Lepisosteus oculatus: one gene and its partners. The protein of the gene in region 2 binds, or shares a complex with, the protein of the main gene of each other region. Links are inferred from orthologs where the notes say so. Each region holds a gene or a part of one and is shown on either strand. Other genes may lie near its edges. The genes, in order: fsta, inhbab and acvr2aa.

Evidence for each region.
Region 1: the proteins of inhbab (region 2) and fsta are in contact, whole or in part, in a crystal structure (PDB 2P6A), measured with the Homo sapiens proteins. The link is inferred for Lepisosteus oculatus from reciprocal best matches to the Homo sapiens genes INHBA and FST. Residues at the interface, in NP_002183.1 of Homo sapiens: Asp315, Phe327, Asp337, Trp338, Ile340, Ala341, Gly344, Tyr345, His346, Gly360, Thr361, Gly363, Phe368, Thr371, Arg397, Ser400, Leu402, Tyr404, Asp405, Asp406, Gly407, Gln408, Asn409, Ile410, Ile411, Lys412; in NP_037541.1 of Homo sapiens: Trp33, Arg35, Val44, Leu45, Arg60, Phe76, Met79, Asp135, Glu152, Pro154, Glu155, Val180, Val181, Asp182, Gln183, Tyr188, Val190, Arg221, Thr224, Cys225, Arg229, Ser230, Ile231, Gly232, Leu233, Glu328.
Region 3: the proteins of inhbab (region 2) and acvr2aa are in contact, whole or in part, in a crystal structure (PDB 7U5P), measured with the Homo sapiens proteins. The link is inferred for Lepisosteus oculatus from reciprocal best matches to the Homo sapiens genes INHBA and ACVR2A. Residues at the interface, in NP_002183.1 of Homo sapiens: Ile340, Ala341, Pro342, His346, Arg397, Pro398, Met399, Ser400, Met401, Leu402, Tyr404, Asn409, Ile410, Ile411, Lys412, Asp414, Glu421; in NP_001265508.1 of Homo sapiens: Asn36, Asp53, Lys56, Phe61, Thr63, Lys65, Val74, Lys75, Cys78, Trp79, Leu80, Asp81, Asp82, Ile83, Asn84, Val100, Phe102.

The regions. Positions count from the first base shown.
Region 1 is NC_090698.1:38,663,872-38,674,854, forward strand, and holds the start of fsta (follistatin-A), read right to left. Parts: upstream 4,238-10,983; 5' UTR 4,082-4,237; coding exon 3,988-4,081; intron 2,472-3,987; coding exon 2,280-2,471; intron 2,054-2,279; coding exon 1,835-2,053; intron 1,592-1,834; coding exon 1,367-1,591; intron 655-1,366; coding exon 424-654; coding exon of another isoform or gene 416-423; intron 1-415. UniProt on the Homo sapiens protein: Multifunctional regulatory protein whose primary function is to antagonize members of the transforming growth factor beta (TGF-beta) superfamily including activin, myostatin, GDF11 or bone morphogenetic proteins (BMPs).
Region 2 is NC_090701.1:16,470,353-16,481,237, reverse strand, and holds the start of inhbab (inhibin subunit beta Ab), read right to left. Parts: upstream 5,036-10,885; coding exon 4,642-5,035; intron 1,880-4,641; exon of another isoform or gene 1,658-1,879; intron 1-1,657. UniProt on the Homo sapiens protein: Inhibins/activins are involved in regulating a number of diverse functions such as hypothalamic and pituitary hormone secretion, gonadal hormone secretion, germ cell development and maturation, erythroid differentiation, insulin secretion, nerve cell survival, embryonic axial development or bone growth, depending on their subunit composition.
Region 3 is NC_090707.1:2,722,405-2,733,015, reverse strand, and holds the start of acvr2aa (activin receptor type-2A), read right to left. Parts: upstream 5,535-10,611; 5' UTR 3,945-5,534; coding exon 3,890-3,944; intron 1-3,889. UniProt on the Homo sapiens protein: On ligand binding, forms a receptor complex consisting of two type II and two type I transmembrane serine/threonine kinases.

The DNA of each region.
Region 1 (10,983 bases), on a different chromosome or scaffold from region 2:
ACATGGTTAACATATGATTACCATTATGACCGTGTCATTTACAAGATGTAAAGATATGGCCAACTTATGTGTCTTCCTACATTGACAGCATGACAGCAAGTATATCGTCTTAAGGCAACCTGCTGAAGGACAGGCTACTAGAATTACCATGTACTCTTCTACAATTTCTTAGCAAGAGTGCACTAACTGCAAACATTAGTCTTCAAATATAATCTTGTTAGTTATGTGAAGGGAATTAGGAGCCCAATAGCTCCCAAAGATGAGTCTTCATGTCTACTTCGGTTTTTTGCAGAAAATGCAAAATTAATAAAGCCAGTGCAAGAAGACATGCAACAACTCCCATTTCCAGTCTTTTCTTTTCCTTAGTCTGCAAGGGGTGGCTGACAGAATATCGAAGTGTCTTTCACTTTATGGTTTACTTACAGTTGCAAGATCCAGAATGTTTAACTTCCAGAAGAACGCCCACAGAGCAAGCGGCCTTCTTCATGGCACACTCGCTGGGGTACGTGGTGTTATCGCTGGCACACACTGCCTCATCTGATCTGCTCTCAGGACACACTTCATCACACAGTGAGCAGCGTCCCCTGCCCATTCTTGCATCCCATAGACACGTCTTCCCAGCGCTGCACTGGATATCATCACAGGATTTCGCTTCTACAAAACCAGGGAACACCACAGAGTCCCTTAGCAAACTGCCCTTTATGTTCATAAACACCACATATAATTAAAAGCAATGAGGATTTGGCTTAATTTTATGACAGAGATAAAGGGATTCAGTAAGTATGCCATGAGGGTATGTTTTATAAAAAGAGCTTGGCATACATGTACTGTCGTCCTAAGATCACATAGAATCAGGATGTGCCATCACATACATATATACAAACATACTGTACATGTATATATTTTCCCCAAAATAACAAGCATGTAGACCAATGTAATATGATAGCATAACGAGGCTCCAGGTCTCCCATTCATAATTACTCCCTTACATGTTGTGGTAGTAAGACGGGTGTTGGCATCTGGACAGAACACATGGAAATCAACTAATAACAGCAAAGCCAACAAGGTCTGGAAAACATTTTAAAGTTTTAACATCATATGACCCCAGGTATGTATAACAAAAAACAGTTTGAAAATGAGAAACTGTGGCAGACTAAATTGGGGGGTGAATTGAGGACATGAAACTTTTTTTAAATATTACTTATGTCTATAACTAGACATTTTCTATCAAAATGGAATGCACTTTCATGTTCATTAGGATTAAAAAGAGGCTTTTTTTCTGAAATGCAGAAAGACAAACTTAAAGGTGTCAAAACAGTGATCTGAAGAGTTCGGTATTGTAACATGGGACCTGACAATAACTTACTTATGCATTTTCCTTCATATGCAACACCAATTGATCTGCCCAGCAGGCAAGTAGCCCTTCTCAGGTGGCAAGCGCTTGCATAAATGATTCCATCATTTCCACACAGATACTGCTCTGGAGATGTAACTTCGGGGCAAATCCGATTACATGTCACACAGTAGGCATTATTGGTCTGGTCAACGACGCACGTTGAACTGCCCGGACACAGAACATCACGGCATGTCTCTATAAGAAAGTCAAATTATAAGTAGATCATGTTGTTTTTTTTTTAAAGAAGGGACTTCTTTATTAATATGTTGTTTAATATCATTGAATATCGTCAACATCACCATTATATTATTAGGCATGACCTATGCACCATTAGTGTATTTCCACACAACTGCAAACAGTGCATTTCCACAGTCTTTCTCCTTCTTAGCATTCACAGCATCTTTTAGTGGGGAAGACAAGAGACACTAAGGAACTTACTTTTGCATTTGCCCTGGTATTGAACTTCCAGGTCTGGATGACCTTTACATCTTGCCTTCAGCAAGGCGCATTCATCTCTGTAGGTCTTTCCATCGGACCCGCAGACAGGTCCTTTCCAAGTAACATTGGAACAGTCGGGAGCACAGACACAGCGGGGTTTGTTTCTCTTGTTCATTTTACATCTTTTTCCAGGGCCACAGTCCACATTGTCACAAGATTCTACACAAATAAAACACAATAAATGACATGCAGCTATTGAAAAAGGGTAATGACCTTGGAATTCACGTTTTTATTAATTATTTCCAAATGAAATTATTTATTCACAAATACACAAACTAGCTTTGCTATCTTCATAAAATTTATTGATCTGGCACTTAATCGTTTTTTAATAAGACTGCTATACACTGTACATCGATAGTAATATATTGGGCTTAATTTCATGTACCTTTACAAGGTACACAATTTGGGGCTCCTCCGTTGAAGATCATCCACCTAAAAAGCGTGCTATTTGGTACATCTTCCTCGGTCCACGAAGTTCCCAGTCTGCCACTTCTGCAACACTCTTCTCTGCTCATCCCAGACATGTAGAGAACCTGGCATCTTCCGTTTTTTCCCTGCTGTAGCCAGCAGTTACCAGCTGCAAAGAAAAAGAACTTAAAGTCGGAAGCCAATGACCCAGACATAACACGTGCAGCTTACTGTATATTGGCTTATGGTGGTCTGTTTATCCTCGGTATTTTGTCTGATTCTGTAACGTGACGAGACATTTAACAATTGCAAAGTCAGATCCCAATACGATTACCTACCTTACGACAACCGTCTACACAAATCGGAAAAAGCAATACAATACTACCGCGTCTGTTTTAAACCAGATTTCAAATGGACAGTACGAGTCACAGTACGGGGGACAAGGTACCGCATGAATAATATGCTAAAGCACAGTACAATAGTGTAAAGCCAGCCTAAAATCAAATTATGATTAATCGTATTGAAGAAACTAAAATCACCAAGATACAACTACTATCACACGGGTTTTGTTAATAATGCTAAAATGTCGAGATACCACTGCAATCACATGGATGGTGTTAATTACAGTTTAAAACAAAGAACACTGCATGAAATGTTAACAGCTGAAAACTTGCTTTTCAAAACATGTGTAGCGTACTGTACACTTGCGCTTCATCCCCCTTGTCCGTGCACTCTGTGTGAGAGCACACTGAAGAAAGCAGCAGTGTCGGATTTACTTCAACACTTGGGAAGATTAACTGCTAGTCACAGCATTACCATACAGTCGGTGCAACGCGGCGGACATGTCATTGCAGTACACTTTCCGAGTCACGCAAGGTTTATATTTATTTTGCTGTGTTTCATGAGACGAGTTGACCTACTTGGATCGCGGTTACACTGCTAGCTCTTGTATGAAAGGAATGGGACTTCACTACCAATAAATAAGCAATGTGACTTTTCTGTTGGTTCAATGGCAATTAATTCATCCAGCTTCAATGGGTCGTGAGATCTGTAGGCTATTTACTATTCCTGTCTTCCAACAAAACGAGACTCAACAGACTTCATGTAAAGTCTATTAATACAACTGCCTGAAAAGTGGGGTAATAAAAAAGTTGAAAACTGAAGCTTATATTTAGAGCTGCTAGATAAATTGACTGTCAGGGAGAGCAGAAGACTTAAAATCACGTGTTATGTCTCTGGTATTAATTGTATTATTCTTTCCAGTTTAAGTTTCCTTCAGGAAATCTGAAGCCTAAAAACACAGTTATCGCTGTTATACATATTAAAGTGCTTCATTTATAGTCCAGCACAAGTATACCCTACCATAAACCGATGCTTGGCTAGTTAGTCAAGTGAAATATAATATGCAGGTAAAAAGCTTGAATATCCAAATATTCAATACATATTTTAAAAACGAATAGAAATGCACCTGTTTTGTTAGCGCTTAATGCATTAAGATAAAGCTGAGTTGCATGTTCAGAACAAAGTTAAAAGTAAATACAAAGTGATCTTGCGTATACCCGTTAGGTCTTGAAAAAGTTTTAAACCTGACACTTTATTTTTTATACCATACAAATGTCTTTCAAAATATTAAATGGCATCCAACTAAAATGTACTACTAAAAATAACTGTATACTCGCACTTACCTTGCACTTTGTGATCTTCAATTAAATGACTTAGCCATATAAATAATAAAATCATGCCCGGGTGGAGCTGATATCTCTTTAGCATCCTTAGCATGATGAAGGCAAAGTGAACCGGAGTGAAGAAACAGGCAGCGGAAAAGTAATCTGCTTACGATCGCTGAGTTGAATGAATGTCAGTCTGTGAATGCAGCCTCTCTTTTTAAATCTATAAGGGGTCTCGGGCCGACTGTCTGTGGTGGGCGGTCTTCTAATCGGTGGGGGTGGGGAGTAAGATTAAAAAAAAGTTCTTTCGATCCAAATCAGGTGACATCTCCAGTCGAAACTTTCTCTCAAAACAATAGTACAGGAAACTATGCACAGTGGGCATGGTCTGGGATGTTGTGTACTGTATGTACGCGTCTGCGTTTGATACAATGTGAAAGAATACCAAGCCCGTCCCATAATGAAAGTGGAAGATATTGCAAGGCTATATTTATCATGATATAGCCTAATAACTGACATTAAAACTAAGGTCAATTAAAACACCTACACATGTTTTACATTAGAAAATGATTTTTTTTCTTATGTTCAATAATATTAGGAAATAAATCTCTTTTTAAAATTGAAGGTTTATGGTATTAACTTAAAACAAGTTTTAAAAATAGTTTTATATGAATACTTTACATTAAGAGAACTATACAACAACAACAACAACAACAAATGAATCCCAACTCTGAAAAAGAAATTCTTCAAAATGACCAGATTTCTATAACACCCAGCCATCTAAAAATCATTACAATATAACTACTGAATATTATATCACTGTAAGCAGTTTCGCCTTGGTTTTACGATTGCAACATCGAAAGACATTACTTCGTTTCATTATAATGCAGGTTTATTAACAGCCGTCTGGCTTTTGTTTACTCTATGTAGGCGAGTGCTCATTCTTTACAACATACTTGGCACTGTGCTATGAAAATGAGTGGGCGACATTTCTGCAAAAATTGCCTAACGTAGACGCTATTTACTCCAGTACTTTTTTCAAGATTATGCACCTCCTGAACTCCATGCCTTTTGAATAAATCCCCGCACGAAGAATGCCAATCGATTTTTTGGGTCTACCCACTTTCCCCCAGCTGCAAATATCTCGGTGATAACAGATATTCTTTCCACCAACTGCAGAAGATAGTGCTAATCTTTTAATAAAAGTGCTGTATTACAATAAGATCTGCCTGGACCGACAATAATAGATCACAGAATACAGGCATGCTAATATTAGAAGAGACAGTTGTTTGGGTTTCTCAGACCCAGGCTCTCAAGTTTATCCATCCCCGTTTCCAAATAGGTTTGAGAGCAAGCGGAGTATTGTATTACATAGCGAATATACATTAAGCAATAGTTGTTTCTAAGCAAATGCACCCTCTGTTATGTTCCGATTTAAGTCCACGTGCGACCTCTTCAGCAACACGCACACAGTGACTCGCTGCTCTTTCTGTGTGCGGTATTTCCAATTGCTGTAAGTCAGCTTTCGATTAAAACGGGTCGGGTTCCTTCTACCGGCAGACAATGTGTACTACATCTTTAACGAGTAAAAGAAATATGCTACTCTTTCTTTGCTCATAGTTGTGTTATGGATCCCCCCACACACGTAATTTATGCTCGCCAGTGAAGGGTTGATCCGAGAAAACAACTTATTTTAGGTCACATCTAGGTCTAGACTATCATGATATGTAGAATTTAGAATAATTTATATAACACCTAGTGGTACGTAACATTAAATAATTTTCAGAGGTTTGCACAGTAAAGATTAAATGATATGAACAGAACCCAAGAGATGCTAGCTGTCGGTAGTCTAATTTGATTCAGACAATGATTATTTACTAGAGGAATTGATATAATTCCAAGTGTGATATGTTTGTTCAATTCAGGTGGGTAGCTGCGTCAGCAAGCGTAGGCTGCAAAGGAACAAGTAAAGGTTTATGACATGCTGAGAAGAGAAAAAAGCAAATACAACGTTTGACGTTGACACCTGAAGAAGGCTTCACGGCCGAAACGTTGTGTTTTCTTCTCTTTTCACCATGGAATAAACCTATTATTTGTTTGTTCAAATTATTGTTTTAGGCAAATTGTAGTTTAAGGGGAACAAATGTATATATATGTGTGTTTAAAAGGTACGGAAATTGTGGAAACATAATTAAAAATCTCCTTTCCAGTAAGGCCTAACGCTTTAAATGAATTTGTTTATGTGACAGTGAATTAATACGAAAACAAGAACCAGAAATAATTTGGTGCCGTGATATTAACTTTTATTTGAATGCTCATGGGGTTCCCCACTGGAATGAAATGCTAAAAATCCTCAGTTTGTTGATGGAAAATGGTAAACAAGGAAACTGCAATTGTCATTTCAAAGCACTAATGTGCTTAAAAGAAGCTTATGGACTGATGGATTTTGGTTTTATTTTCAGATCATGTCAAGTTGTATTAATGAATTTCCAGATTTCAGACCTACTGTACATCTTTTTCTTTAGACAATGCTTTAATGGTGTTTCCCCTGTAAAGCCGTTAGAATGTTTTTATGTAAAGCAGTGTTTTAATGTATCTAAACCTTTTGGCTTATAACATCGATAATATATTTTTTTAATGTGATATGCGCAAAAATCCCGTTGAAAACAATATAATTTGTTTAAAAGGAACAAACAGTTTTAACTTCTACGACAAAACTAAATAACACAATAAATGTTTTTCTAACACAACGTGTTTTTCTTAAGACCTTCGCTGATAAACTGTCGATTAAAACACGTAATTGTGCATCTCCAGTTAGAAAATAAATTTGGGTGTGTTCAGTAATTATTCTTGAGTTAACACTATATTTTTACTTAATTATTTGAAAAAATATATATAGCCGGTAGTACTGTAATGATCAAAAATCTAAAATGCGCGCTTGTCAGCTGAGAAGTCATGAGAAGTTGGTTTTTAAGTTTAGCTCGCCCTAAACGGAAAAAAAACAACACTTTATGTAGAAATACATATTACAGGCAAGTTATACTGCATGTGTAAACTATATACTCGCGTTGAAATATGAACGAGCAAGACACTGATCAAGGAAGAGCATATCGCTGCCACATTAAAACAAACAAAAATCGCAGTCAGAACACATCTGATAGCCTGCGAAGTCACCAGCATGTTTTATGGAACAGTAAAATTTTCCTCTGTGCTTTTTTTTTTACCAATGTAATCACACCATATGTGGAGATCAGGTTTACACCAGGTGCTCATCCACTCCAGCCTTTACAAGTACTGTATGTACAGTAAATGGATGCACATTCCAATAGCAAGAGGAGCATCTAATGAAAACAGTCATACTGGTATGATCAGAGGTCCTGTTACAGAATACTGTGACATGAAAATGACCAAACCAATACTGCAGTGTTATAAATTCAGGTCATTCTTGCCTTAAGATGTGGTGACCATTCTTGGGTGTTCATAATGTGCATTTGAAATAACAATTCATTACTTAACAAACAATAGCAAATATTCTATATCTGTCAATGATTTAGCATGTGCATTTCTTTTAAATTTTCTGATGTTAAAAATAATTTTCAGCCAAAGATTGCTTTAAATACCTCTATGATGAAGTTAACTTTTATTCACCATTCAATCCAGAAAATGTACCCACAAAAGTATTAAAAATAGATTTGACGAGGGTGTCCAGGGGTATCCTCTATTGCTTGAGAGGAGGCACTGAGGTTCAGTTATTGCTTGCATTCAAGATGAAGAGAAACCATTTCCCAGAAACAATGCAGATGCATAAACCAATTTGGTATACAGTATGTCATACATGCTGTTTTTCTAGTAATAGAGTAATCTTTAGAAATAGTTACATGGAATATGTTCTTAGTCAATACATAATTAACTAAGAATTCCAAACTGTCAAATTTAACAATTTTCAGAAAATCAGTCTTTTGTTTAAAAAAATCAGAGGTTGCTAATTATGTTAAAATATTAAAATATAACTCATTTAAATATCTATTTTTCCTTTTCTTTTTGGACATAACCATACATTAATGGAAAAACTCAAAATGCAATGTATTGTATCCATCATAAAAATGAGACTGCCTTGCTTATTTTTCATTCCAAAAACATGAATAGTTACATGCTGAAATGTTTTAGAATTCCTGAAAATGTAGCTAATGTGACTTTTTAATTATTGTTGTAAACGAATGTAAACAGTGTGGAGAATGTGAACTGTGTCTATTAAAGAAAGGTGGACAAACATATGAGATGGTATACACAAAATAAAGGAAAAGTACTGGAATACCTTACATGTGTATCTTATAATTGCATTATGGAACAAATCAACACACTGGATTATAAATTAATGTCCATTTGTCTGAAGACAAGTTTGAGATACAATTGAATACATGACATCAGCATAATCAAGGGCACAAGCAAGAGATGGATGGCCACTTTGCTGCAAATGTGTAGAGACATATAGTTCTTATTGCATAAAGTGCCTAAAGTATACAATTAAATCAAGTCTATGAATACATTTACCTTGATAAATGCTTTTGAATGTAGATGATATACTGTATACTGTGGGGTATATGCTAAACCTGCTACAGGCAGTTCAGTATGATGTTTTTAACTAAGTGGTTGCACTTGGCAAATACAATTGCATAATTTAGCCGCTTCATTATATTCCTGTATTGTAATGGTTGGCAACAGAAAGAAAATAAAAATATGAGAGTGAGATCATGTAGAAAATGATATTAAGACATTTAGTGTAAGATTGTTTTACTTACTTCTTCTTTACAAATTAATAGCAACTTTGATTTCTGTATATTGTTTTCCCATTGAGCTCTTGAAATAGGAAATTAATTACCATTGCTGAAATTTTCCAAAAGAAAATGAGCAACAAGAGTTTTTTTATGGTTTTAAACTGAAAAGACCATTATAGAGTTGCAGAATCATTTACTCACGTTATCATAGTTATCCTTATAACAGTCCCAAAAATGTGGGGTTGAATCCTATACTGTACTCAATGGGTGATGCAAACCAAGCTACTGTAAATGTTAGACATTCAATGCATATTTCTTGAGTATTCTGCCCAATTTTCATATTTGGACATGCTGTACAGTAATGACTTATCAATTAAATAGCCAAAATAAACTGTTCAAAATAATTACATTCAGTTTCTACTTAGTGTATTACTTGCTCATTCTCAGTGAGTAACAGTAAAGAGAAATAATGGCACTATCTCACTCCTAAAATATAATATTGCAGTATAACCTTAGTGAAATTGACACCATCAGTCAAAGGAAAATAAGCTTAAAGCCTATACAGTCTATGTTGACCCCATCTTAGCAGCACCTCAAAGAGCTGCTGTGAGGAAATAAAAAAGCAATTTATTTCTGCTTTCACCTAGATGTGTGATTTAAAGATTCCAACAGTATCTTTTAATGGTTGTTGAACAGTAAGCCTGAAAGAAAACTGCTAGCAGAAAAGACCTCAATTGCTTTTCTTTTGAATTTCTTGTTTTTCTTGTTTTTTTTGTGGACTCATATTTGGGAGAGCTATTTTTGTGGGTTTTATCACATGTCCTTGTGCTATTTGCCAAGCCAAATGCATAATATGCTCAAAGGTGTCTGGCAACAAAACATTGATCTGTTTTTATTTACGTGCTCATTTAACACTGTTTGACAACATGTTTGTTATTCCTAGATAATTGTCCCAGAATGTTATTACTCAACATTTCAGAAATAAAAACCAAAAGTAAGCATTACCATTAATATTACTGTATAAGCACTGGAACTGTTTCATTGTATGCCGTGTAAAATGTCAGTCTAAGGAAAGCACACTAATTACATTAGTCCAGTAATCATATTATAAGCAACAGGCTAGCCTACCTACAGTACATTTATAAACAGGTGTCAACATTGTTCATTTTATAGAAAATACCTTTGTTCACAATCAATGGAATTAACAAAAAGGTTGTCTAGTGCCTATAATTAAACTCAATAATGACATTTAATGACTCCTTTAAGGTATTATATACTGTATGAATACAGTAGGTAACCGTTAACACTAGAGGACTTTTGATATACTGTATTAATGGCAGAGTACAGGATTGATCACCCATATCATTAATCCATCTATATTTTAACTATTGGATAACTGTTTAAATGAACTGAACAATCCAAAATTAATGTTGTGGAATGTTGGATTTAAATGAAGCAACTGAACTAGAAGTTTATTATTTACTGACATTCTCCAGAGTGTTTTGCAAAATGTGATGCTTGCAGAAAAAGTGGAGAAGCACATATGAATAATCTTTGATATATGAAATTCATTCTATTATTGACATTTTAGTCTACATTGTGTAAGAATATGGTTCTGTACATACTGTATACCGTATGTACCTGTCAAAACATTATTACCATGTGTAAAGATATCATCAACAATTTACTCAAAGCTTCCAATAATGTTTTCAACTATTAGAACTGTGCTAACAACTTAACTCTTCTTTATTCATATTCATTTTGGTAAGAAACTAAGCTTGGCTTTTAGCATCTTAAATTCATATTGGTCTTCAAAAATCTTCAAAACCATCTCACCAGCTAAACTTTTACTCTCTGCATATCCACTAAGCTAAAAGGAAATTCTTTCAGGACAAATTGTAAACATAAATAAAAACTGTTAAAATTCCGATCACTGTAGAATTGTGTTTCCACATAAAGAAAGTAAAACATTGATTAGAAATACCAGAACAATTAATAAAAACAGCAATTTCTTGCATTTATATGTAGCAATTTTCATACTGATGGATCCCAATCATAATGGATATTGAGATTTATTAATGGCATTAATGTAAAAGCATGCTTTCTTTTTATACAGTATATAGGAGGAGACCCACTGCATCCATCTCAGAAGTGTGGCATCCACTTACAGTATGTGACAGTAGTCATCATGCATCGGCATCTCCACAAGACAGCAGTTCAGGTGGAGGAGTGTGAAATT
Region 2 (10,885 bases):
TGATCCAAAACTCCTTTCAATATGGCTAAGCGGTACCTTTACATTTATATAGCTCTAGGGCTTCTTTGTGAAAAAAGAACATATGTGAAATTGTAGACTTGTAAATTTAGCTGTACGTCCCTTGCTGTAATCTTTTGCAAAACTTGACTTTTGATGTTCAGCTACAGTCAGGTGGTCCAAATGTATTGTTTCTATAGAAAATCCAAGTTGTATTATATCAGATATTATAAAAAAATCATGTTTGCTAGACCTGCTACAGTATTAACAAAATTTAAGGCCAACAAACCCATTCCAAATAAAATTAAGTTGAACAAGATTCCAAAACAAAGAGCATCTTAAATTTTGCAAATTGTAATGCAATAAACATTCAGAATATTTAAACATACATATAATTAATTGTTCATATTAAAGTTAAATGTATTCATAGATTTATGTTACAGTAGATAACTGTCTAGAAATAAATGCATTAGAGTGTACATAGATGGCACAATTATTGCATCAAAGGAATGTATTGCAAGATTCTTAAAATATGTATGAGAATGGACTGTAAAATGCAACTCACATTTTAAAATTAATATAAAATGACTGCTTTTTGATTATGATCTGTAATATCACCTGTCTCAGGAAAATATTTTGAGACCCTCTGTTACTCAATGACAGAATTCCCCAGGGACATTTAACTCTTGAAACAAACTACTGTGTACACCTTTGAATAAGAGTCACAGGACGCCTATAGTGGAATTCCTCTAATGATGTTCAGTTTAATTATTTCATTCAGGGAAATAAACTGTAGTGTAATTGGTGAACTCTCCATACCATCAAGTTCAGTGTGTTCTCTGCCTGAAACTCTTTCAAAGTCGGTCACACTGCTCATCAGCATGATAGGCAGGCTTAACCAAGTATCAGGGCCTGCATTTCTCTGAATGAAGCAATTAAGCACAGCATTGTTTGAAGAATTGCGCAGCCTGCTTCTAGTCTGCTTCTGTGCTCTGTGTTGCATTGTTAATATCTCCATTCTTTGATTACGAAACCTCATAGGACAAAAGTGTGCACTGAAGTTTTAATGTAACGGCTCTCATGAGCTATTAATAGTGAAGAGCTATTATGAGCATCATTCTTATGGAAATATGAGCAATGCAATTCCTGATGACAAAAACATACAGTATGAGTGGTGTATAGAGATGTTCACCACTGTGCTTACTTATCTTAGACACAGTGGGTATTATGAAGCAGCAACAATTTAGTTAATACCTCCACTAGTGTTTTCTATTATAACGCCTTTGATTTTTCTGAGGTGCTCCTTGTCATTAACAAAATCGTCTCCTCTTTCCTCTCTTTAATAGTCATAAAGCTGAAAGGCTATTTTTGTACTATAAAACAGAATCTGGGGATTAGTTAAAATAAAATGGTTAACAATTCAGTTGAAGATTGCCATATAATTGAATGTTTGCAAAAATAAGCAAAATCAATTAGTTTAAAAGGAGGACGATATGAAATGTCAAACAAGTATACACTGTACTGTATATACTGTACAGTATGTGTTAATAGCATTTTTTTCCATGGCATGCATGAAGATACTTTTTTTCAAAAAGAATATGGAAATTAAAACTGGTATCAGAATACTGATGTACTAGTCACGAGGAAATCCCTGTTTGGACGTTTAAGCCTAGATTTTTTTTTTATTGTTTTGGTTATTTTTATTTTATTAGAGGTATACAGACAAGTACAGCCGTCTGTCAGCGGTTCCCTCTTGTGGTTTTCGTGCGGAATCGCATGTAAAAATGATAAAAATTGACGGCAAGCATTTCTTTGGTGAGAAAAAAATGAATAGTGGATAAAGGTTGTGAAAGGAGGGTCTTCTTATCTGCATTTAAATCGGGTAAGACTCTTTATCTTTTTCTTATCGATGTATCAGAGGATTTACGTCAGGCTTACTTTGTATAGATCATAAGGAATAAGAGTTCTCGGTATGTCCACGATTTATTTGAAAACATGGACGCACAGAGTTGCTGTGCAAGCGAGCCGCATCTTTCCCGTAAGGATTTCTTTAAAGGTAATATTAACGTATGGGTCACGTGTCTTGAAAGGACGCACGTTAAATTGTTTTACCTTTAAGATAAAAAAGTAACACTAATGAAGCTTTGGCATTTCTGCTTAATCCATTGGGAGCAGTGAGGTTGGAATGTAATTTGACGAGTGTTCCGTGAAATCTAAAATAAAATCTGTTTCATGTCAGTAATGACATTTAAACGTAAGAGCTGTTCAAATTGATGAGCATACTGTAGCAAGCCTGACGTTATTTTATTTTCACAATAAAGCGGGATGAGCATAAATGTAATAGTTAAAGTCAACAAAATGCAATTCGCCGAATTAATCAAATACAATTTGGGGTTTTTTTTTGCAATATTTTACGAATATCAAGTATGGGTTACTAACGAGTCCAAAACACTGTACGTCTTAGGTCTACTTATCTCCAAAAGAAAATGTTTCTGATGCTCATGTTTCTTTAAGGCTATGGAAAGGAAGATTTGCGTATACTGTATCTGACAACCGTCTTCCTTCAGCCCTTCAAAGCACTTGAAGTAAAGTGTTGCAGGTTTTACGTGTTTGATGGCAATATAAACCTGGATTTGTCCTATGACCACTTTACACACGTGTGTTACTGCTGCGTACAACAGAATTTGCGGCATTTCGTCTATGGACCGTTTGATGTTTAGGAAGTCGAAAGCATGCATCATGATAGATTAAAGCTCCACTGCATTTACTAGACTTGATATGAGAGATTTCGGTACCTGAAGTACTAGTGCTTGCTCATTATTGGACTAAAAGTCAACCGACTTTGTTTGTGCCTCAAAGAAAGTTTAGCAGCAGGACTTGGGTGAGATTGTTCTGTCATTAATAAGGTCAACGGTGAGGTCACGTAGGCCAGTCATCAAGTGAGGTAGCATGCTGATTTGCAATACAATATAGGTTTGGAACCTCAGAAAGTAGGCAATGTCAACCTTTTTTCGCCCAGAAAAAAAAGGTAAAAAACTTAGCTTTCTGAATTAGATAATCGATAACTACTGTAGCACAAATCCCTTTGGCAGAATACTGGGACATGCCAGAAATTAAAAGATACTCATTCAAAATTGTTTTACAAGTGACAAATGCAATCATTTTAATTTTAAATATCTGCTTCTGGCACTACTGTGTAAATCCAGGTATCCAATTTGTATCTCATGCTTTTTTGCGCAGTTTGAAGTTTTATCTAAATGAGTTAGAAACAAAAGTTTTAGGACTATTTACTGTATACTTACTGTTTAACAATGAAAAACATAGTTTGTAGTATACTAAATAACTACCATATTTTTAACTGCAAAAATTCCTCTTTGAAAATAATTAGAAAAGGTTGAAAGTCAGTTAGACATGAACATGCTGAATACAGTGGCTCTCAGTCATTAAGTTTCATAAATGCAGATTCTCCAGTACTCCTAACATCCTCTGAACAACTTGACATCATTATACTGGTGTAGTAAAAATCTTTCATTAAAGTCAAACAATTGGTCTCAGTGCACGCCTTGCCAGAACATTGCCACTTCAGTGAACTCTCGTGTTCTTTTATTTTGTTAATCTGTACAGTCCACTTTTTGATCTGTAGAGCTCTTGAGCAAAGTACAGGTGTCATTCACTGCCAATGAATACAATGAATAGAAGCTCTTTGCCATACAGTTTTGTGGAGCAGACTTTTCTCATTACAGCTCATTTCAGGGCTTCCTGCTGCCAAATTAATCCTGTTAATTTAAGGAGTTTTACATACTCTCTACAAGCAAGTTTATCTAATCACTTCAGATTAAGCTGTTGATTTTCAAAGACTGTCAGGCTCAGTGAGTTTTGGCTTGCTTTGAACTTGGGTCTCCCACCTACTAGTCAGAACCCTCTTTTGCTCTTTTTGTCATAGCACAGAATATTCATTCAAATTTTTCATTCTTTCATTTCATTTAGTTGATTGTGTGAATGTATGTGTACTTTTTTATGCCAATATAATGAGGAATTGACTTTTTGCAATGTTACTTTTCCCACATTAAAAAAGTGGCATGTTTCAGGACAACAGGGTCTGTTGTTCAATGCTGAGTCCAATTGCTATCTGGACTGTGCATTTTCTGTAAAAAAACATTTAGACGTTAGATTTACTGTGAAACAGTAGGGGTCTCTGACTCCTGAACTGTGCTAACAGGCACACTTTGTAAGAAGCAGCAGTCAGGAGGATTTTCTTCAGTTATTGAGAATGCTGGAGTGCACTCTATGAAATTGTCTCCCTGCAGTACAAAAGGTGACAAATAGACAGCTCTGAAGAGTCAGGAATCACAAATATTCACATCTTCTACGTGCTGAAGTTGTGAACGTAGTTTTAGTAGGTAATTGGGTATCTAGCCTTCAATCAGTAGGATGCAACAAAATACCTTTAAGAGGGGTGCCTGAGTACAGTTTTAGATAACAGGTCTTAAAATCTTAAATTCTAGTGCATTAGGCTTGTTCCTCAGCCTCAGCTGCTTCCAAGAGAATTATGTTTACAAACCTGTCTAACTGGGTTGAAGACCTGCCCTCTTCCACACCTTGCCATTAAATCTCCCCCCCTCAGTTCAGACATGGGCTACTCACCTGCCTCAGCAAAAGTGATGATTTCCGAAGTTTGCTCCGCCAGCTCGCTCATCTCTGCCCGGCTGTGAGCCTCATCCTCAATCTCCACGTTGCCATCCTCGCCAACTTTTCCCACGTGTAGTTTTTTGATGGCATTCAGCAGGGCTGCCCTGGGCACGGGGTGGGTGATGTTGGGTCTTTCCTTCAGATGCAGCATGCTCAAGATGTGCTTCTTGACGGCCTCGACCATATCTGCTTGGGAGCTGGCAGGCACATCTTTCTGCAGCTTGGAGAGGGCACAAGAGGGACAGTCGGTGACCGGCGTGTGTCCATCAGGGGAGCCAGGGGTGGGAGAGCTCCCTGCCAAAATCCCAGAGAAGAGCAACAACATTCCACTCAGCAGAGAAAAAGACATCCTGAAAGAGTCAATCTGAGTTGTAAGTTTTCCCCCTTTTTACACTAAAACTGAAAAAAAAAACAAAGTAGAAACTAAGCAAAAATAAAGTATAATCCCTTTTTTTAAAATAAAGAAGCAAGAGCAAACACTTTGCAGATCTGGAAAGTTTGAGTCTGGTAGCTACCGAAGTCTTGATCAGTTAGTCAAAAAAAGTTTTTCTAAGTTTATCAGCTGAAGTTCTGTGGCAGTGTAGATGTGTAGTGCTGGAGGGATGTGCAGAGCACCCGATAGGTCTCAGTGAGTTCGCTGTGTATGAGCTGAATGGTTTTGTATAAGTGGGCAGGGTTAGCTCACTCACTCTCTCACTCTCTCTCCCTCTAATTATACCTCGCTCCCTCCCAGTTTTTCTATCACTATACTTCTGAGTCATGTTATACCAACTTTTTCTTTTTTTTATTGCTTGTCACCCTGCATATTATACATAAACTTCACCTCCTTTTCATGTTCTTATCTTGTTCTGGTTTTCTGCTTCTCTCAAGCTTCTCATTTATTTAACTACAAAAATATATCATTAACGTGTGAAAAGGCTTGATACTGTCCAACTGGGTCTAATTGTACAGGTGCAATCAATGTTATCATTCATAATCGATTCTTTTTTGCATTTTTGATGATTTAATATTAAGGAAACTATGTGTATTATCTTAGAAGCATTTCACTGCAAACATTTGTGAACATCTGGTAAGGTTTTATTAATGCTGAATAAAATCTGTAAATTAGCCTTTCTTGCTGCGCTGGGCCAGTGGACATAGTTATACATGAAATACCTATCACTTTGTAACTCACTTCCTCTGTATCATAAATAACCTCTTTGAAGACAGCACCTTGATTTTTGTCTAGATTATTATTGTTCTTCTAAACAAAATGTTTTTGAGTTTAAAGCTCAACTATACACACACTAAACAATTAGTCAGAAAGGAGCACATTGGAAAGTAAAGGTTTCCTCGTTTCCTGATGTACTTGCTTTTGAAAAAATGTCATTTTGTGACTAAGTGCTTTGTATAACCACAACTCATTTTTAACAATCATTCAGAAAAAGTCTGACAAGGAAATTTCTCAAAACCATAAGCTAGGTTCCTGAATGGTTTGGCTATGGCCTCCTGTTGGAGCACAAGTTGGACCCTGTACTGCAGTTCAGAGATCACTGGTTCAAATCTAGGCAATGTCATGAGCTACATATATCCCTGGTCAGGGTTTCCCAGAGGAAACGTCACATTTGACAAAGTACTGCCAGGGGTTTGAGGTTGGCCAGGGTTTTCCTGTGGTCCGGCTCCAATGACTTTGCAGTGTGTGCCTTCTTCAGCTCTCTTATACTGTACTTTAGAAGTCATTTTGACACTTTCTAGAAAATTTTAAGCAAGAGAATAGTCATTGTTCTTTGTTTCCTTTTAATTTTTTAGTTTACTTAACAGACATGAACAAACGTGCTCTTGATTTCTTTGAAGAAATCTCAAAGGACATGCATTCTGGGCTCTTTCTTTCCTTTTTTGTAAAGACTTAGCAACTGCACAGCTTACATTGACTTATTCAGGTATTTTGGTTATGTCCATATGAACTAGTGAGGTCAATTAACTCAGCAGCAGCCTCTGCTGGCAAAAAATGTTTCTTTCACCCAAATTTCAGTAACCTAGCAACCTAACAACTATTACTGTGCTCTTCACAACTCCTGTTCTCTTATTTCTGTTACCTCTCAACTTCATGCTCCGCAGGGTAGGTAATTAATTTCAGAACTTGCGCCATCTTCATGCTCTCAGTACATATTAAATTCATCTTGAGTGATGCTGGCCTGGAGTTGGGTATACTTCCTTGGAATGCTTGTGATCAGACCTCTTAAGGTCAAACAATATTTTGAAGAAGTGGGATGTTATTAATATTATGTTATTTTTTCCTGCATATTCCCCATTTTCTTGTCAGCCCTCAGTATTGCAGCTGTTGTAGCTGATTAGCACAGACAGATGGCTTAATATTACTAGTGTTGGCCTGCTTTCGATCTGGAGGGATGTGAGTGGTGATCCCATCACTCTCATCATCCTGGGACTCAGAGTAGGCCTGCAGATGCAGTGTGACTCCTCGTTGGCATGGGTGTGAGCTCTGTTATTAATGTTGGCCTAAAGGGGAAAAAAATGAGGAGGAATAATACAGTTGCAGCTCAGTCATATAGAGGTGGAGACCTTTAAGGGCAAATATTGGTAGGACTGCTTACATCCCACATCTCAAGAAAAAAAAAAAGTTCTGCATTGGACTAAAACATTATTCTTCTCTTGGAGGAAAAAGTTGACAAAATAACATTTTTGAAGAAGATGTGAATGATCAAATGTAGACAATTATATAACATTAACACATGAACAATGTAATGCAAGATTACTTTTTGGAAAGGCGAGAGGTGGTTCTGTCTAATCTGAACTGTCATGTGAAATTTGTTTAAAGGCTTTATTTTAGTCATTTTTACATCCTGTATTTATCATACCAAATTTTACCTCCCCACACACACTTCTCAGATTGTTTGGCCTGATTTATTCATCTCCTCTCAAAATATCTACATTTCAGCCTTATCTTATTAGGATAATACCTGCAACAGTCTTGCAGAACTACATGAGGATTCCCCCATGACTGGTAGTAACTAGATCTATTTCTCTCATATCTTCAGAGCAATTTCTGAACACTGGCCTTCCTTTTCAGTAGAATGAACTAAATTTGTCTGTCTATAATGATTTCCCCCCTGTCTCTTATCTTATGAGTGCTTAGAACAAAATTCTGTGGTTCATAGTGCCAGCTAAACCCATTTTCTAACTTGCAGCCAAAAGCAAACACAGATAAATTTCATTATGGTAGATATGCATATATAGTATTATTTTCACTATAATGTTGTTTTCCATCTACTATCTTACAAACATCACCATGACTTCCCTATTTCGTTTCTAGCATTGCTGTATTATCAGATTTCACAAGTTTTTTTTTAATGAAAAACTTACAGTTGAGCTAGAAGGCATTACTAAAGTTTTGCCTGACCAAATTAATATTTTTGGAAGCTCGTTGATTAAAAATAGTTGGAAGGGACAACCATGTTTTTTTTTTCCCACTAGGGGGCAAACTATCTCTAAAGTATAGTTAGTGCTGAATTGTCCTGGAGGCAGGACAGAATGATGTAGTGCTGGAATGGAGGACGTGCTCAGAACTTAAGTCCTCACAATTTTAGGAGGGGGAACATTTGCTAAATGATTCACTTTTTCTAACCATGAAGCATCACTGTGGCTATCCTGCTGTTTGTGCTAGATAGGGTGGGTGGTGAAATGATTAAAACATTTTGATCTCATAACTGATACTTTTTTATTAAGAAGATATAGTATCAGATATGTTATTTGATGCTATTTTGAGCTAGCTGAATGTGACATAATGCAGCTACAAATACAGTACATGCCACTTTTTACTGCTAATTAATGAAATGATCTCATTCTGCTGCTCTCAGAAATGTTTGATTAGTAAGAAAAACATTTTTAACAATGGGTCAGAGTAATGCATTACTTTTGATTGGATCTCTGAGAATAAACTCAGTAATTTTAAATGAGTAAAAGTCTTGGATTTCCCTGTTAACTTGCGTGTTTGCCAAATTTCTATACAACTGTGCTGAATTAGCTCTGCCACAGAAGCTTTACATGGTGAAGCCAAATGTAGCAGTATTCTTCAGACAGGAACTTGTCAATGGGATGGTTTACAATTATAGACCAAATAACATGAATGAGTAAAAATATAGTTTGTCTGCACTTCGTGGCATTTTGTGTGCTATGAGAATTTATCCTAAAATACAATTTAATATATATATATTATATCTAAGGTGCGGCACAATGGTGCTTTGGATAACCAGCCTCGCAGTGGTGAGACCCTGGGATAAAGTCCTGGGGTGCTGTTTGTGTGGAGTTTGTATGTTGTCCCTGTGTACATATGGTTTTTCTCCAGGTTTCCCGGTTTCCTCCCACAGTACAAAGACATACTGGCACCTGAAAAAGTGATCCAGGTGTGAGTGTGTGCAGGTCTGTGCCTGTGTGTGTCCTGTGATGGACTGTGGTCTCGTCCAGGGTGTATCCTGTCTTGCTCTTGTTGCCAACTGTGTTGGATGGATGGATAGATCTCGTACCTAACAATATTTAGTGTATGTATGATATAATTCAAAAATAATGTACTGTATTTTAACAAAAGCTACAAAAGAGGAAACAATCTTCACAAATTTAGGAAACATGTATTGCAGGTATTTTTTTTCCATTCTTAAATGTTTCTTGTGTTTTAGAACAATTGAATGAAAAAACATGACAATCTCAACAGTTTAATGTTGACATACATACACTATATATTGTTAGGTACGAGATCTATCCATCCATCCAACACAGTTGAACAATTCTTACCTACTGTGAACCTAGCAAAAGAACACACACGTTAACTGTTAAATCATTAAGAACATTTAAAGTTTATTAAACCATTCATTTTTTTAATGTCAGACATAATAAAGCCATTGATTCCACCACTTCCTACACAGAGAAAAAACCTGGTCAAATGATAATTTATACACTTGAAGTGCTGGGTTCATCTGCCTTTTTCTGTTTTCAATCAGACTAAAATTGTATTGAAGGGACCACTTAATGTGATGCTCTTGATTAGCTCTAGATTCTCACTACAAACCTGATTTACCAGTAGAACTTCAGTAAGTAAAGTAAGTCATCCTCAGAAAGACTTTAAGTGATTTCTTAGTCGACAACAATTTTTCTTATTGAGATTAATATTGTGAGATTTAGAGCCTAATGCTCTGATTTCAAAGTTCTATTAATAATATTAAAAATGACTTGTTTCCTAAACGATTGTAGAGGCCTTGGGCATTATTTTATACAAGAGGGGTCTTGAAAGAATCTTTCATACTAAATTGTCAGCACTTAGGAGCTCAACAGTCTGCATAACAATATTCTTCAAATAAGTTTTAAAATTTGGTTTCTGTACCATATCTGTAATGATAATTTTTGTTTGTTGTTTTCATATATGCTTTTGAGAAACATATGATTGAAATACATTTTAGCAATATGCCTAATAATAATGATAATACACTTTATTTTATATAGCAGCTTTAAAGGTGACTTCTCAAAGCACTTGTTAGTAATAAGTTAGGTGCAATATAAATTACACCCCCAAAAAGCTAACAGTAATTTCTCACAGTCCAACCTTGTACAATGCAGCAGTTCAACAAGACCAATTACACAACGATTATTATTTCACAGCTGAGCTGCTAAATAAACCAATAGTTTACAATCCTTAATAAACAGCCATTGGATATGAATATCACAATCTTCAAATGTCTATGTTGGTTTAATCAGATGAATAATGTGTACTACAATATTATAGAAATAAATTATGTAATATTCAATATTATTAGATATTAATTTTCAATAAATATATCCACATCACCGGTGTGACAGTAAAAGTGGAATCTGAAAAGATATTTTACTTTGGCAAATATCTGGATGTTTTCTTATTTTGAATATATCAATTGTTGAATGCACAAATGGTTAACTTTATAAATGTACGATAGCATTCTGACCAAATACTACACACAACACACTAAGTCCAGAAATGGTAATTCAGATAGTATACATTTTATCAAATGTGAAAAATAAGACTTTTCTCTACAGCTGTGTCCTGTAAAGTGAATGCAGTGATGTCTGTAAGAAAGCAATTAGCGTTCCTCAAGGAAGCCCAGTCACAACTCACACGCACACAATATGCTCCCTGTATGACTCAGCCCCATTAAAAAACATGCGTGCACGTTTTTCC
Region 3 (10,611 bases), on a different chromosome or scaffold from region 2:
GCTAAAGAGCCTCTTAAAAGGCTCCTTTCAAATACATTTGAAAAACAAAAAAATCTTTACAGATGTTCTCTTACACACACATTATAGCCAGACAAGTCCTTCAGTTTATTTGCAACAGAAAGCACTGAATGTACACCTGTATTTTCATGTTAAATGAACCCACAGTTCATCAGGGGTACAAACTGATTCAGAGACTATTGTATACTGGATTACTAGAGATACTGAGACTGACAACACTCCAGAATTTAGTTTCCCTTCAAGTCTGTATGAACATATACATATATTTCTACAAAGCACTCTAAAATGATGCTAAACATATAAATACTACAGAACAGTGAAATAAAACCTTACTAAAAAGGGAGGCAAATAAATCAAGAGGCTGATTTTTTTGTAGTAGTGTTATGACACAGGTGTAAGAGCCCTCCTAGGGTTACTGGGAAAAACCCAAGAGCAGGAAGAAAAACAGCCAAAATGGAGGCAAACCCAGCTCTAAAAGACAGATTAGGACACTTAAAAATCCTTAGTTGACAACACGCATAACCTACATTTAAATACCGGTGAAAATCCTGTTTACGGCACATTGCCTAGCTTTCACTTTCCCGACTTTTTAACAACCTTGTGACTTAGTTTTGGAAGATTCTGTTTTTTGAAAACCGTACAACAGTATATAACAAATGAAAATGGGATAAAGTCGTACAAGAAAAGTCAAAAGCGGGGCGGCCCAAACAGGTTCCCGAGACGAGTCGGAGCACAGCACCCAGCTGTCAGTCCGTCTGCGCCAGCAAAGGCTAATACGGGAGTATTTCTTTCCACAGCAACATTGTCTAAAAATGACTGCAGCCAAGTGCGATTTACAGGTATCTCGGCCTCCACCCAGCCTCCTGAAATAGGGATTTTCGCCGAAGTTAGACCGCGAACAAAAGACGAAAAGACGGTGTGGCCGAGGACGGAAGGTAACCGAGAGCCAGCGAGCACGGTCGCGTCAGAAAGCTCATTAGTCACACTCACCCAAAAGCGCTGCTGTCGCTCGACACTCCCAAAACGTGCCAGGTGGCTAACAGGTGATAGTGTGACACTGTAATTACCTGCTGCCACTGCTGGCAAAAAGACGAACTCTCCGGAGAGCTCCCTGCACCGTTTAACAGGAGCCGCAGGGCTGCAAGACAAAGCCTGAACTGTTGTGGTTTGTTTTTTTTTCCGGCTCTGCCTGCGATTTCCTATTGCCAACAGCACCTAACCAACTGAACCCACGCTTTGACAAGGAAGGACGGGAGCTGAGGCCGAGAAGGTTTCATGGCTGCCTTACCTCCAAGAAATATTCCTACAGCTGGTCTTCGGAGAGGCACCCTATATGCGAAGTTCAAGCACGAGTAAGCTAAGGGAGATTTCCAGTGCAGTGAAAGTAATTCAAGACAGCGGTGATGGTAACATAAAGGAATGTTTAAACCACTTGGATGCAGGCCTTTATAAACATAATACAAACAACACTCACGCTAAAGTGAATTCCTCACGCTAAAACTCCAGGTTTGATGTTTGACACAACCGCGCGATAAGAAATGCTTTCCTTGCATGACCAGCCTCCCCTTGGCGACCGAGACACACTTACCTGTAGCTTCTGAAACGATAGAAGTCCCACTACTACAACGCCGCGAAGACGATACAGGTGTGTATATATACACACACACACATTAACAACGCATAAAGCAACAAACAATCAAAGCCGTCAAAAGTTTATTCTGGACAAAATGCAACATCAGTCTTTGCCGTTGTTCGCGACAGTGAATTTCCCGCAGGTGAGCTCGCCAGTAAAACGGCCAACCTCTTTCGCGGGCAAAGCCGCAGTGTGGAGGCAGGCAAGCTCACAGATGAACAGCTGTGCGCTCGGCAGTGAAAGTGCTGCTCACTCCGCCCCGGGCACAAACCCAGCTCCCATCTTTGCAACGCAACCTCCTGTCGCCCTGGGTTCCAGTGCCACGGCCATCTCATCTTACAGCGGGGCAGATAAACCGGCAGGCCCACGGCGCGTCACCCACCAGCTCGGGAGACGGCGGGCTCGCCCGTCAACACGGTTTTGGAATTTGCAAAGACGCAGGGCGCCTGAAGATAAGACGTGGAACAACCTCCAAAAACGGAGGCTACACATGTGCGGGGTATAGAAAGAAAAAAAGACAAGGTGCTTTTTGTTACAGGCGTCGAGACATAATGGGAGACTTCTTTAGCAATTGCTACACCTCCATCCGAAACTTCAGCGCGTTTCGTGAAGTTTTCATGAAACGGCCATCACAGAGCAGCGCTGAGTCTAATCTTGCCCTGTCTCGCCTCGGGTACCCGTGCCTTTCGCCACTGCCTGGCCGACTCCACTGGTGCAAATCCCAAGAACCATTCCGCCAGCACCTTCGCACCAGGCCACACCGGGGCAACTGCGGCCCGAAAACCGCTAAACCACGACCTTCTCCAAAATGCCTTCCCTGCGTGACGAAGATCGTCTTGTACCGCCAGACACGACGAATTTCTTCCAAGACAGACACCACAGCATTTGAACAGATTTTTAATATGAATGAACCTCCTTTTTTAATATCGTTAAGCTATTCTGCATCACAGGGATTTGCGACGTAGACAACAGCAGGGAATTAAATACCCTGGTCTAGGCCAGGCGCCTCATTTTCATTGTGAGCACGAAATGTAATTAAAAATATTGACATTAAATAGCTCACACGTCGACGTAAAAACACAAGTCACACTAGATACATTTTAATGATATGATTTCAAACCGTGTTATATTTACAGTTTTCGTCAGCTTAATGTACGTGGAACCTCTCACCAGTTTACATTTTTTTGCTCATTCAAAAAAAAACCCAGATCTCCATCACAGCTCCGCGTTACTGCACCTCGATCTGGTGATTTAATATAACCAGCGCAGCCATTCAGGAAATTCCGAAACACCGTGTGCTTCTCTCGACAGAAAACTCAAAACATTCAATGCGTGTATTTGCTGGATAACAGCATAGCCCGAATCACCAAATTAATTTAAGCAGCGCAACGTGTAATTTATCTTTATCTAATTGTATTGAACACAAGCGTATCATTTTCCCTTGAGTTATAATTTGTAACAAAGCCCCTCAATCAGATAATCAGATTTAGTACAGAACTAGAATTTCAGATTTGTGGACTGATATGAAGTAACGTCTCAAACCCCAGCGTTTTGCCTGAGAAGCTCAATTTGTGCGCGATAATCTTTGATACCCGCAGACCTTCACACGACACAAAATTCGCAATTCGACTATTTCGTTTTTAGCTTGCGGCCCGCTTAAGCATCTAAACAATGTCAATTGGATGATATTTCCCCCAGCTGAATAACTATTCACGAAGAAGCAGCCCGTCTCCTGTGTGTAAGCGATGAATTGATTGATTGGCACGTCCATCCCGTGTATCTCTGTTTACAGTTTACACTTCACTGTGCCGCTCCGAAATCACGAACTGCCATTGATTTTCATGCTCCATTGCCGGGTTATTCTAAGCCAGACAATACTCAACCCGTTTACAGGTACCTGGCGAAACATACAGCGAACTTCATCTCCGCACATAAAGTCTCAAAACACCGATTTCATTGGCCACTGTGCTCCGATCTGCTCGGCATTGATACTGTAACATGTTTACATTCAAGGTTACCTCTCTGCGACGCTACAAAGGGAGTAACAAAAAAACAACCAGAGCCTCAGTGAGAGCTGCCGTGTTTCCGAGCGGCCGACAATTTCAATCGCGAAGCTGGGCTGGAGGGAGATACTGTAGTAACAGCCAAGGGGCAGACGCACACCTCCTCTCGCCCGGCCGTTCCTCCGTCGCCCTCTCCAAAACGCGGCCAAGGCGCAAGCGAAACCCCCCTACCCACCTGAGGAACAGGAGATGAGGAAAACGGCGAAGGCTAGTTTCGTCGCTGCTCCCATTTTCAGTCCGCGAACCAATCCGGTATTGCAATAAAATCCTTAAAAACGACGAAATTCCCAGGATGAGCACCCACTCGTAAAATGTCTTCTTTTATTGAGTCATAGATGTGCGCGTTTATGTTTCGTATATATATTTTTAATGAAAGCCAAGCCTTAAATCAAGGAATTAGAAATTTCTTAAAAATTTTACTGTGACAAACTGCCGCTGGCAAAGTCCCAGGGCAGGCCCCGCTCCTGAATTTTGCGTGTACAGTCCTGAAACTCAAGAGACATGTGTCACTTGACTGGCTGAGAGCATCAACATGTTTTTTGACATTTTTTTTCTTTCAAAATGATCTTATTTCGGAGACGCCACGTGTTCAGTTCGCAGATGCCCGCAAAGCCGAAGGCGCCTGGGCACCGATCAGTCCAGATGCTAGTAGTAGTAGTTGTTGTTTTGAATTAAAAATCTTCAGATCAAAAAGAAAAACATCGTCGCTTGCTGCTTGCAACAAAATACCTTTCCTTACGGACCATGCACCGAATCCCCCAGTGAAAGCTGGAGAATGTGCAATAGAAAGGTTTTAAAAATTTTTTTCTTGTAGTGTTTTTCAGTTTTCTCCAGGAATACTACAGTAGCGAACGCACAAGGCAGCAGTCATCTGTCCGAATTCTGTGACATATAGGGATTTGCATAATATCAGCGGAGTTCATAACGCATTCAATCACGACACATGGACATTGTATTCAGCCGCTGGGAGGGTGGATGCACATGTACTAATACTGGTTAAAATTCTCCCAGCGACGATAACGTCCCCCTAAAACGAGCCACTTTATCCCCCCCGACACGAGTGATCCTCCCCGAACAGAAAAAAAAAATCCTTGCTATTTGGATCTCAAGTCCACGTTTCCAAACGCCGAGTGTAAAAATGCGTGGCAACGACTTGTCACAAGCGCAGGCTTCTTCATAATTGCACCGAGGACGAAAAGGCGAGATTCCCGTTTTCTTGGTGGTTTGTTATGGGAGGGGGTGGTGGAAAACAGCACAGTCCTGTTGCTGCCTCTCGCCTGCCTGCCTGCCTGCCTGTCTGCTGTGGTGGGTAGGTACCCGATCTGAGGTGTCAAGTCCGAACCTAGCACTTCAAAATAACTTCAGTGCTCCACCAGAGACTCGCAAAATCCACCACGACGCCGGAGGAAAACCCGTGCAGTCACCTGGCCAGGCGACCCCTCGCCTCCGCGGCCAAGCTGTCAGAGAGACTCCTTGACGGCGCTGGCTCGCTTCTCTCGCCTGCCTTCCTCGCAGCCTCTCTCATTCAGCGAAAACAGACCCGATTCAAGATGGCGGCCGGCACGAATTGTTTTTGTTTTTTTTTTTCCTCCCCTCTCTCCTCTCTCCTCCTCCTCCTCCATCTCTACCCGGCCCCTCCGACGGCGAGCCGTCTCCCCGCACGGCGAATACCCTTGACTGACATCACAGCACGTCAAATCGAAAGGGAGGGGGAGCCACGCCAGCCGCCAGCCGCTCCGCTCCCTCGCCCAATCCCACGCAGGACACCCGCCTTGTGTGGAGCAGGTCGGGGCGCTGGAAGTCCCAGGCTCTCTGCAGCGCGCCGCGAAGGCGTGATTGATGGGCGCCGCTTCCTATGGCCGGCAGAGGGGCATTAACGGGCCGAGCCGTGGAGCCAGCGCTGCTGCCTGTAGTGCACAGGACTTACACGGGATGCATGCGTCGCCCTGGCACAGGCGTGGGCGTGTGCAGCACACGGGGCGATGAATCTTTTTTGCAAACCAGCGCTTGGGCATTTTTTTAACGCCGTGTCCTCCAAATCTAATCCGCCCTGGGACTGCGGAATGGTTTCACACCTGCAAACGTGCCCCCCCCCCCGCCAGTTACAGAATAAGCAGTCTTCGCAGGTTTCTGTGTTGTTCATACACGTGTTCGGTTTCGGTATTTTATACTGGTCGATATTTTGATATTAATAACCAGAGATGACATGGACTTTGCGCCTTTTGGAGAGTCCGTTTTTTTCTGAGATGTCTTATCAAAGTCACAAATCCCTGTACAGTAGAGCCAGAACAACAATTATGTTTCATATCAAAATCTACCCCGAAATACTCTTACCACATCTCATGCTTTGGTCCGCAGTGAAAGACACTTTGAAGTGTATTTATACCGGCATGTTCACGTTTCGCACAATGTTTCAAAAGTATTTTCAAAAATACATTTTAACAAGGCGGAGAGAGAAATGAATAAACCAGCTCTCTGTCTCCCAAAGCGTCTGCTACAGTGACTTATCTTGCTGTCTTTTGTTTTGGAAGACATTCCAAACAACATACAGTAGGTGTAACTCAAGAGCCCTGCAACATCCAATCCGATGACCACAGTTGTTTATTAGAAACTGGTCCCTCAATGATCACATTACTCCACAAGGGGTTTGTTATATAGGAATCAAGATGGAGGCAAACAGTTCAGATTTCAAAAGAAATGTTCTGTTCAGAGGTTAGGTGGCACTTCATTTCTGTCATCCTACAATGGGCCACTCTGATTCAGTCCTGGAAAAGTTTATTATCTTTTCTTAAGATGTGCTGCCTCTGGCACACCTGAACACGCTGCTCAGAGGAAGTGTTTCAGTGCAGTGGGTCTTGTTGGTTTCATGCTGAGACTTACGAACAGAACTATTATCCAGCTCAAACATGGATACATGCCTTAGCAGGACTTCATTAAAGGACAGTGGGATCTGCCACAAAGCCAGATTTCAGAAGGGTCTTCCACATATACAGTGTACAGTAACATACTAAATGAACTGAGTGTTTTATTGTGTTGTGAGTGTACAGTATAGGACTACTGACATGTACAGTACTGTATCGTTTCACTTATTCTATAATACAATCCATTATATTTTATAGCACTTGAAATTGTACAATGTCAGTGTCTCAACGCTCCTCTTTGATGATAGCTGCTGTTACAGTCTTCTCCAGTGTGTTGTCAGTGTAGAGTCCTCTCTGTCACAGGTCCCCAGCGCTGAGCTGTGATATTCTGCCACTGGGTCTCCACTCCTGAGGAGAAATTATTACTAGAAATCATACTGCATGTTCAACTGGTAAAGGTCAGTCTTATTTATTTAATCTTATTTAGTGCAAATTCCTTTTCCTTTAAATAAAGCACGAAAGGTCATGTATTTTGTGTACACTTTATGTATGAAAGAAATGGAGAATATTATGTACAAGTTCTTCTACTCTACAAGAAAAACTCTACTCTAAAAAACTCTACAAGTTTAAAGTACCTATAGATGACAATCTGTTACTTGCAGTTACATCCAATTTATATGATACATTTCTCTTTAAGGAGAATAGGTCTCTGTAGGTTTCAATTAAATTGATTTATTCAAATAAGCAAATGTCAATGGGAAGCACCAAAGATAATGGTTTCAAGCAAAGAGCAGACCAATTTGAGTGATATATTGACTCAAAATGGTCAGTCATCTAGGTTAATGCAAGTGTAAAAACTAAGGTTGTTTACACTTGGAAGTTGTGACACATTTCTTGATCGCTTAATGGTATTTTTTCTCCAAATAGATGATAACTTGTATGGATCAACGTCCGTACAACCATTTTGTTGAGTCGTCTGCAATCATTTTCTGAATCGTGGATATCCTTGCATAGTACCTGATTAATATTAAATCAGCAGAATTTTGATTTTTTACTATAATAATTCCTATTTACCTTCATAAAACCATGTTGTAGTTTATTCTGCTATATTAAATTCTATACTTTTGTCTTCTTTGCACAAATTCCTTTATCGGCATATATCCTAATATGTTTGAGACAGAGAGAAAGTTATATTGTTCAAATGATAAAATTACCTCTTGAAAGATCTTTACATTGAAGACAATCTTTTTGGGATTGGGTCAGAAAACAAAGGAAGAAAGTACTTGAGACAAAGTGTTTAAGTACTGTATCTCTGATACTTCAAAGTGCATTTTTTAGTTGACTTTTTCAGCGTATTTCAAGCATTTAACTATGTAGATATGCAACGGGCCTGTCTTTATTTTCTCTTTGGGAATAGCATATCATCTGATATAAGTGACTTTTATATACTCCATAAACGGTTACAAAGAAGCTTTGAAGGTTTTAATGTCGAGGGACCGGTCATTTAACTGCCGTGGCGTGCTACAACACGTTTTATATCACAGCCTCTTGTTGCTGACGATCTGGCTTGTAGCCAAAACCTGTTAGATCTTCTTTAGATCTGAAAAGGGTGGTCTTAAGACTCGCCGGGTCTAAAAAGGAGATCAACGCTTTATGAAATTTCTACAGAGGTTGCGCGGAAGAGAGTATTTTACCAGTAATAAAATAAAAACGAAGCACAAAATGTCCTGAATAAACCTTCAGCTGCTGTGCACTTCCCTTCCTTTAGGAGCAGCATTTTGAGAGAGAATCGAAGAGAGATGTCCGGGGCTCCTGTCGCCTGTCTCAGATGCTCCGTCATAAATAGGACGACGCACTTACGCGTGAAATACAATAGGTGGATACAAATCACGATTATGAAAAGAGTTACTGTGGTGATGTTGAATTTGCGGAAAGAGCATACATTTTCTGCACGAAAACGACTTTTTAAATGGTAGACCACATGTGGTCTGACATTAACAGCAACGACAACAACCATCTTCATGTGATGTAGCAGCTTTCATGTGGAAAAAAATCCGCAAATGTTTCCCCAGAATAAAAACAGATCAGCGATAATAAATATAAAAGCAGTAAATACAGATCAAAAAGTCCAACATTCCCGATAAAACATTTCCTGTCCTGTGTTTACGTTACCCTTGAAAAACATGCAAAATGATTTTAGCCGATTATTTAAGATGTTCACGAGAATGAGTTGTGCTTTTTTCTATAAGTTCTAAATTTAATTGTATCAAGTAATATTTGCACAGTAAAGATATATAAATCATACAAATAAATAGATCTAAACTTAACCAATTTACCACAAGTGCTGTTTTATGTTTTAGGGTATTTACATATTGATTTAAATGTGTGCATAACATAATATCTAATATAAAATTACAAAGCTTTTAATTCTGTAATATTTGATTTACATTTATGCCATTGCGTACAATATGCATGTGTCGGAGCTACACTACCAACACACTGCGTTCCCTAAAGGGTTGCCGTTAAAGTACGACGTGCCCTGTTTTATAAGTTATATACCGTATTTGTACCACTTTACAAAACCTTCGAGCTCCCCCTTTAAAAAGAGCGAGCTCGGACGGCCTGGGATGGTTTCGTTTTGAGCAAGAGAAACGTGATTTCAGAGTGGAGCTGCCAGTGGCCAACCTGCATCACACAGTGGACCCCCCCTTTACTGCCGCTGCACGTTATATAAACAGCGTGTTAATCCCACACCCACACCGCCGCACTTCTGAGCCGGTGCTGTTGACCTTGAAACCGGCGCATTAACTTGCAGCGCGCTTTATTTTAAGCTTTCCTCGCGGAATAGAGTCTTCACGCCGCCGCCCCTCCCCCACGCACTTACTGTAAATCCTGGGTTACAAAATCTATACGTTCCTGTGCTTAGTGATTGTAATAGGATCACCCCCCCCCCCCCCCCCCCCCCCCCATTTAAGACGGCGAGGTTCTTAATGTATAAAAATATCCACCCAACGCTGATTTTGTTTTTTAGGAAAATCTTAAAAGCGGGTTTACACCAAAAGATAAGGTTAATCGTGTAGTCGAAGTCGAAATTATGAGGCCTTCAGTCATCCCCTTGTAGCTAAGAAGCTGTTTATAAATGCGAAGAATTCCTTATCCAGCTACGTACGTTGCCTTATACCGAACCACCCTTTCCTCTACAGTCCAGGCTCTTTGCAGTTAATCAATACTAATGAAAACATAAACATTAAGAATTAAAACTTAGAATTTATGGAGCTTTTGTCGTGGCTGTTGAACTCCACGTTCTTTTTTAACGTGAAAGTGCCCTCTCTGAGCAAGCGATACGTCTGTCACACTCCGAAGTTCGGACACTATCGTTTATTTACTGAGCATGTTTGGTTTAAATTCCAGACGCCTTTGGAATATCTCATCATTCGAAGGCACCCTCTTTGTGCTCCGTGGTGATTATATCTGAGTTGCATTTCACTGCTTTGTAATGTCCAATTTTCATTGTAAATCGCAAAGTTTTAACAGATCACATTCAGTTAAAGAATCTGAGATAAACTTGTGCTGAAGTTACAGTAGGTTACTGTAGCTCAATGGTTGTAAGCATTTTGCTAAAAATACAATTATTTTTTTAAAATCTGACAAGACACGGGCTCTCTAGAATGCTGTGATTATCCGAAATGCATTGAAACACAAGCTCGTGTCATTTCCTCATTCCTTAGTGTCAATTCTTATTTCTCATTATCACTTTTTAAGGACTATAGCAATCTGAGATAGAACAAGTTCCATTGAGTGATAAAGCTGACAAGGTGAGTGAGGTGAAACATTTTCACATTTTTCAAACTTTGCTTTGGTTGAGGGTGTGAGTGATTAATGACCCTACCGAATAATCAGAATTGCTGTTTTCCCCTCTTACGTACGTGTGGCATTTGATAAAGAACTGCACACTGTTCCCTGTGCTTGAAGCTGGGGTTTTGTCAGCATTAAAACGTTTGGAATGCTGATCTGTCAGCGGTAATCTCTCACTGTG